Linked DNA regions of Oreochromis niloticus. The protein of the gene in region 1 interacts with the protein of each later gene in a pairwise test. Links are inferred from orthologs where the notes say so. Each region holds a gene or a part of one and is shown in the gene's direction. Other genes may lie near its edges.

Region 1 (3,924 bases):
ACAACATGACTTCAACTCTTTCAAGAGCAAACTGTCAACGTCCTGAAGATCCCTCATCTGGAAAACAACACAGTGTAATATTTGTTTCTTATTTTCCATTAAAATCCAAGAGACTGTCAGAGTAAGCCTATGTTAACTGTAACTGTTGCCTCCTAAACCACACCTACAGGCTGTCCGGTATCCCTACGAATAAATAAATAAATAAATAAATAATAATATATAACCTGGCGATCGTTACAATATTATAAGTGATTTATTAAGTGAATGCATAAAATATGTCGAAGCACAATAACTAAACCACCACCAAATCGAAGTAGATGTAGATATTTGAGCTAAATGACCACTGACCTGAAACTAGGTCACCGGGCTAATCCAAACAGGGAGATGATTACATATTACAGAAGGGGGCGAATTAATAGAGCTAGGCTATTTCCTTCTTTTGGGTTTTAGAAATTGTGTTTTGAGAAACAAAAACATCTATAATTGCCAAAAAAACATTCGGGGGGCGTCACCCACACAAAGTACTCCTGTGTAAGCTAACTTAGCTAGCGCTAATCAAGCAGTCGTTTTACCTTGCCCAGGAGCGGAAGGCGTGCAGGATAGTAACAGCTCCGTGACTTCAATTTAGATTTCACTCCTCCATGTTTCCATTTTGATTAAGATGATTGACGGGAAATAATAAAATAAGACCTCGATCACCGTCGAAGAGCGACAACCCCCTCCCCGCCGCCCGTAATAAACAAGCAGCTCCTGACCTGCTGGAGAAAACTACTTTAACCATCATGCATCTCTAGAAACGCAACGTCTTGCCTGTTTGCGTAACAAAGTGGCACAAAAAGGCGCCTGTTGGCCGATTACTTAAAGCCGTCGGGGATAATTATGTTTTACCTCCTGTTTACGGTCACTTAACCGATAAACTTGTAGTTCACAGGTTCTGACTTTCACATCCAGTCTGTCATTATATTTTAACGGTTACACTCAAAGACCGCTCAACTACGTCGGCCAAATTAGCTACGGATTGGTGATGGCTCTTGTGGCACGGCACCCAAAGAAGAGCTGGCTCTTTTGGCTCCCAAATCGCTCTTAATATATTACGATCTGTAGCCTCATATTTTAGCTTTATTTGGCAAATTTGATGGGAGTTGGCTCTTCTGATTAGAGCCGATGCTTTTGCGCATGACACGTCACTACTACCGATGCTGTTTCCATGGTGATGAAACTGCACACTCTGGTAGAAGCAAGACTGTGGTGCAGTTGTCATTAGCAGGTTCTTGTAAATGTCTTAATCAATGACTTGAGATAAAAAGAAGATGTCTTCCACGGGGTCCGAGTCCTCTGAGCCCCAGAGCTATAGGCTTTCCGTCAATAGTGGCACTAACGTTTTACGATACCATTCCACAGCGAAAGATAGAACAGCAACAGCGGCAGGAACTGGAACCGCTGGTAAGCTAAATAAGCAAAGTATTGCTTGTTAGTATGCTAAACTTTATTTCAGTAACTTGGACGGTTCCTATTTATTTTATAGATCCCCATGGTACCCCTCTTCGGTTGAGATTCAACAGTGTGACGCTGGACGAGCTGAGGTAACATACTCACCCAAATTAAACTAAGACTAAGACTTCTTTCTTTCACTATATTGCACTAAGACTTCTTTCTTTCACTATATTGACTAAGACTTCTTTCTTTCACTATATTGCACTGTATTATCAAGATTATAAATGTCCTGTCTCACAGTGATACTGAAAAGTAGTTCATGCATGTGCCACTCTTGGATGGACTGTTATAATTCCTATTAAGCCGGCTGTTCTAAAAGCTCCCCGAAAAAGCATCCAAATCATCAAATCATCATCCAAGTCACAGCAGCAAGAGTATTAACAGGGACTGGAAAGAGAGATCGCATTTGTCCCGTGTTAGCTCATCTTCATTGGCTTCCTGTTGAAGCCAAAATTGAATATCTTAGTAACCTCATAGTACCATATTATCCTAACAGAGCACTTCATTGTAAGACTGCCCTGCTTACTTGTAGTTTACTGTGCTTTAAGTAAAGTGGGAGGCAGAGCCTTCAGCTATCCTCTCCTGTGGAACCAGGTCCTGGTTTTGATGCATGGCAGTCTTCCTCACAGCTTTAACGATTAGGCTTAAAACCTTCTGTTTTGAAAAAAGAAAATAAATCAGGCTGTGCTGCAGTGGGCACTATTAGTAAACAAATCTGAACTGAATTCACTGTATGAGTTAGTCTAAGCCTGAGCTTCCATGTATTGACAGTGATGAGCTTGATCGCCGCACCAAAGAAACCCAAAGACTACAAGAAGAGGTGGAAAATGCAACTAAGGTGGTTCTGGAGAGATTTGGCGGCAGCTGTAGGTCACCTGGACAAAGCTGCCATGATATTAAACCTCATACCTGTGAGTACAAGTGTTTCCACACATCTTGTTTATGCCACTCTAACTTGAAAGATGGGGGGGAAATGTGTTATCTAATGGCTTATTTATTATTGTTTTACAAAATCCAGAGTAGAATAAAATGGCTGAAAACCAAAGGCACAGAAGTACTGAAGCTCAAATTCTTCTAAGCTATTTTAGTCTCAGAAAATGTTTAAATCCAAATAACTAGTATGCATACACAGAAGGGAAAGAATTCAACATAAACAAACACCCTATCTTAACAGTGACAGCGTACGCTCTGAGTGTTTTAAACGTCTGTTGCTGTTTTGGCAGATGACTCTCTTGGAGATTCCTCCTTTCTTTCAACCCACCAGCAGGCAGTGACTCAGCCTTTGGTCTTTGGTCTGGATATTTTAAACCAGGAAGTAGCCCAAAGGGACATCAGCTCTCCTGGAAAGGAGGTGTTAGAAAATGCAATGGATGACTGCCTTCAGCAGCTGTCAGACTTGCAGCTCAACAAGGTTCATATTTTTATTGCATCCATAAATCCTTTGGAATAGTTTGGTTATGTATGATGTGAATAGCAGAGGAGGGTAGTGCACTTTCTGCATTATGTATCTTTTATGTTTCATCTCCTCAAACACAGACAGTTAATCGAGCTGAACAAGAAACATGCTGTCCTCAGAAAGCCATCACAAACCTGAAAACTGAGCTGCATAAAGTCCAGATGGAGAAAGATGCCCTGTCTGACCTGAGGTGAAAACACAGATACAGTTTTACATATATAAAATAAAATGCCTGAATCACTTTGACCCACAGATCTTTTGATTTTTAGATTAAAGGATTCGAGGAAACACGTTGATCAGATGGAAAAGATGCTGTGCTTGTTGGAAGAGCTTCAGAAACTCAAAAGGTCGAGGGACAAGAAGCTGCAGGAGATGGAGAATGAGGCAGTCGCGCTTAATAGGAAAGTTGAAACATTGGAGCAGACCATAAAGGAGGTGTATCATACATTGGATGGGAAACAATCTGAACACTCAGTCACCGGCACTAAACATGGGAACCGCGAAACGCAGCAATTTTTTCCTAATGAACGACTGAACGACAAGCTACAGGGGAGGCCTTTTTTGGTAAGTGATAGCATTCAGTAGAGTACAATAATGGGTGTATTTTACAAAAAAAATATGACTTGTGATTTTTTTCTTTCTGTTTCATATCAGTCAGAAGATCAGATAGGGAACAAGGAATACAGTGGAGCAATTGAACAGGAAAGGTATATAATTTTCCTAACTAATCAATGAATTCTGTCATTTACTGAATGTCAACAACTGCCCATCACAGATTCTTAGAGCTGGGTTTGTCAAACCTGTTGTACAAAAGCTAAAGATTTTCCACTCACTCACACGAAGTACAAAGTAAAGCAGCAAATTTACATGATAAATTATCAGAATGTTTGTGTGTGATTTTTGCCATAATTTGTTTCACTTTTGAAGAATATTTATAGTATAAATACCAACTTCAGTGTAACAGTTGTTTTTTT
Region 2 (3,924 bases), on another chromosome or scaffold:
TGTATCCAGTTGCAGGCGGAATTGGATACTGAAAGCAAGATTTCTGGGAAACTAATCAAAATCATTGAATTCTCTTTATTACATTGTGCACTGAGAATTAACATTAACAAGTAATTTAATTGCATTAAATTTTATCATGTAATTTTGCCCTAAAATGCAAAAATAGCATTTATTGTATACATGTAGAATGCAAAAATTAACTTTTAGGAAAAAGAACCGTCTTAAATGTAAATTCCTGTGTATATTTCCATGTTACTGTATAGACTGATATTTAATAAAAGGGGAAAACAACGCTGTAGTGAAGAGATCTCTTGTAAATTCCTTATTTAGCTTGTATTTTGCTTGCTGCCCCTGTGACACTGTCTCGGTTAAGTAGGGCACTTGTTAATGTACTTGGACACGTGTGTCATAGTGGCAAGATTTTCATGCAGGAAGTGTTTTTTATAGCTTTAAAATAAAGTTAATCTAAAGATTAAAAACAGAAAAGCAACATGCGTTTCCTTTTTAGTGAAAATAAATTTACTTAATACGTCCCTTAGGTCTTATTTACTCACAGTGTCATCTGTCTCGGTTGGTGACCTAATAATGTTTATGCTAGTGTCAGCAGGTAGTTGGATTTGTTTAGGCCACTCACTGTGCTGTATTGTCTCTACTGAGGAGGTGCATGGCACTGGATTAGCCATCCCTGTCTCTCTCATCCTTTCTCTCTGCCTCTCATTGGGGCAATGGTCAAGCTTAGATGTAAGGTATTCACTTTGTAATCATTGACTGTTCCTCTACTCTTGCCCAGAATGGTCCGTCATCATGCTCCCCTGTTCTTTTTAAACCTGATAGAACAACTGGTCTCCGGGTCAGACTTGAGGAGAAGTTGAAGAGGATCAGAGATGAGCACAATTTTCTGTTGGGAGTAGCAGGAACTGAATTACATAACAACAATGGATATCTTAACTTGATTAAAATCACCTGGATTAATAAAACATAAACTTGTAAACTTGTGACGTCTTAGAAATTCACTTGTTTTGGAGCTCAACCTTCTTGTGGAATTATCTGAAATTCCCTCTGGACTGTTTTGTCTGCAGGTTGCTTCACCGTGTAGTTTTGGAACGAGCTTGAGGACTTGAAAAGCACACATTTTTCTCGGCTGGCTTTGGACTGTGGTTAGAATTTACAATTGGAGTGTGTCCAGGTTTGTTGTAATGTTGCTGATATAGTGGTTTTTATTGAAGCTGGGAAATATGGACTTTATAAGACCACAGCTTGTTAAAGTGTGAGAGGAATTCTTAGTTGTAGGCATAGTACTTAAATTAACTCTACAGAGTTAATTCTACAGAGTTAATTTAAGAGTTTTCTGATAAAGTTAGTTTTATTTAACAGTACCCTCATGGCATCTGAGCCTTGTCCTCTGACTGGAGCAGAGAGAGCCGTATGTAGACTTGTCCACTGTGGACCCCGACCTCAAGCTATGCTAAAGCCTTTACCTCTGGAGCTCCAGGTGTATGTGGACAAAACAAGGACCAAGCAAAAACACAGGTACTGTAAAAAAACAAAACAAAACTCAAAAGGAACCCGTCAAGGTTTTACAAACCAAAATGACATTGGTGAACACATGCATCCCATATTAGGGCAATGTTATGAAATCTGACTAGAACATAGTGTAACGTCAGCTGCTTTAAATTACTGTTCCCGTCACAGTAAATCCTTTTTGCCTCAAAAAGGCAGATGCATTCGCATCTTCGATTTGACAGTAAATAAGCTGTAATGCAAAAAACTCATGGTACATCTCTTTACCTTTTGAATGGAGCCTTTTGCAAAGCCTTTTGATTAGATGCAAGGATAATCCTTGCTTATCTCTACATTCTAGTACTTTATCTGGAATTTAGTGTTACTACTAAACTGTCTGGTCTTGTTTATCCTGGATTATGCAATGCATTTAGGGTGTATACTTCTGGATACAGCTCACTCATGAAGCCTTGTCGTATGCTCAGAATTGTTTTTAGTGGCTTGAGTAGTGGTAAACTCAGCGTGAGTTCTGGCCGGACACATTGGTATCTATTGAATCTCTCCCTGGAATGTGCTGATGTATTTTAGCTCAGCAGCCAACTTCAATCTCTGAAACATAGTTTTGTTAACTTCAAGGCATGGAGTGCGACACAGGGCAAAATACAAACCCCTTTAGCTGTTCAGAAATACCAGATTTTGAAAGACTTCATGCAATAACCCTGCAGTGGTCTGGCATCCTATCCAGACCATACCCCTGCTCTCATCAGAGACAGCTGGGGTAGGCTTTAAGCTGCCGCAGCCCTGAAGTGGATAAGCAGTTAAGGAAGTGAATGGATGACATTGTCTCAGATTGCAGTCAGTAGAGAACCATATTGTTTTTCAAATGTTTTATCTCTCTGGTGTGGGTGGGACATTCTGTCTCTGTCTTATTTTGTTTCATATCCTCATGAAAATCTCAGAACATGCAAAAGAACGGCACGTCTTCGAACATCAGGCTGTAAACTGATTTAAGCAGTTAAAAGTGTATCACCTTTTCAGGGTGTTCATCTTCGAGCTCAAACTCAGTTACTAAGGCAACCATCCACAGAATTTATTACAGACCTTGTTGTCATGGTGATACTGCCTCTCTGTGAAAGTATATTTCACTCCCACTGTAATGGTATCCATGTTTACTGTATGTCCTAATCTGTGATAGGGCTATTGTTTTTATTTCATTAGTTTCATGACTTTGTTGTATGCGTGTACCTTGCAGGATGGAGGCCTCGTGTTTAGAATTGGCCTTGGAAGGAGAGCGGCTATGCAAGGCTGGGGACTTCAAAGGGGGAACAGCGTTTTTCGAAGCAGCCGTAAAGGTCGGCACAGAAGACCTGAAGACCCTCAGTGCCATCTACAGCCAGCTGGGCAATGCATACTTCTACCTTAAGGAGTATGGCAAAGCCCTGGAATACCACAGACATGACCTTACCTTAGCAAGGTGAGCAATGTGCACAAGCTATGAGTAAAACATTCACCTCAGCTTTGTGCTGCTTGTTTTGAGCTGCTTGGGAGTCTCATTCAACAATCTGTTTGCTGCACAGTAAACAGTTGATAAATTTCACATTTGAAATCAGTTAACAGGCACTTTAGCTGAGAAGAGCTGCATTGTTACGATAAGGGAACTTATACACAGATCAATAAACCCCGCGTACATATTGCATCCAGCACACGGACATATAAGAGGACTATGAACCAGTATGCAGGAATCATATGCTACGTTCTGTTATTTGATGTACACACAGTTCAAAAGGAAAACAGTCTTTTTCACATTTTTTCCTTTACGTGAGACCTTCATGAATTTCAGACAAAGAAATTTTTTTTAAAAAGTGAGGGGACTTTTACGTAGTAACAGTTGACAAATACCAACTGGATATTTAGCTTGTGAGTAATCTGGTCTCCTGCAGTTAGTGCAGCTGGTACTCCTGCAGGGAACTGATTAAGGACCCTAGGGAGATTTACCTTGTTACATTACAGTCTCACCAGGGCCACTGGGGCTTGGTCCTTGGAAGTAGGCAACTGTTGTTACAGTATTTTAATGGTTATTCATTAGCTAAATGGATAACTCGTGGCTTCCTGTGGGTCATCTGGGCCGCCTGCTAGAGGACAATAACGTAATGAAACAATGTGGTAGTAGCAGGTTCATAAGAGCATATAGTAACTGCAAGCACTTAGTGCATACCATCTTTTAGTTGCTCAGTTTCAAAGTGTGAAAGTGAAAAAAGGAGAACAACACAATGGGGAAATTATTTCTCACTTCCAGCATGAAGAGAAAGTAGGCCATAGCAACCAGAGAGGAACTAATCGTGTTGACAAGTTCCGATTCAACGATGCATGATTAAGCCTAAAGTAATTAGTGGACATGGTGCTCTATTTAGTGCTTGTTATGCT

The links.
Region 2: the proteins of coiled-coil domain-containing protein 158 (region 1) and gpsm1b interact in a two-hybrid assay, tested with the Homo sapiens proteins (2 studies listed by BioGRID and IntAct). The link is inferred for Oreochromis niloticus from reciprocal best matches to the Homo sapiens genes CCDC158 and GPSM1.

The regions. Positions count from the first base shown.
Region 1 is NC_031977.2:28,603,277-28,607,200, reverse strand, and holds the start of coiled-coil domain-containing protein 158, read left to right. Parts: upstream 1-1,285; 5' UTR 1,286-1,310; coding exon 1,311-1,443; intron 1,444-1,525; coding exon 1,526-1,583; intron 1,584-2,265; coding exon 2,266-2,405; intron 2,406-2,717; coding exon 2,718-2,905; intron 2,906-3,030; coding exon 3,031-3,140; intron 3,141-3,219; coding exon 3,220-3,514; intron 3,515-3,604; coding exon 3,605-3,657; intron 3,658-3,924. Other genes in the region: cyclin-G2, read right to left, coding at 1-57.
Region 2 is NC_031972.2:19,260,294-19,264,217, forward strand, and holds the start of gpsm1b (G-protein-signaling modulator 1b), read left to right. Parts: upstream 1-854; 5' UTR 855-1,381; coding exon 1,382-1,530; intron 1,531-2,752; coding exon 2,753-2,974; intron 2,975-3,924. UniProt on the Homo sapiens protein: Guanine nucleotide dissociation inhibitor (GDI) which functions as a receptor-independent activator of heterotrimeric G-protein signaling.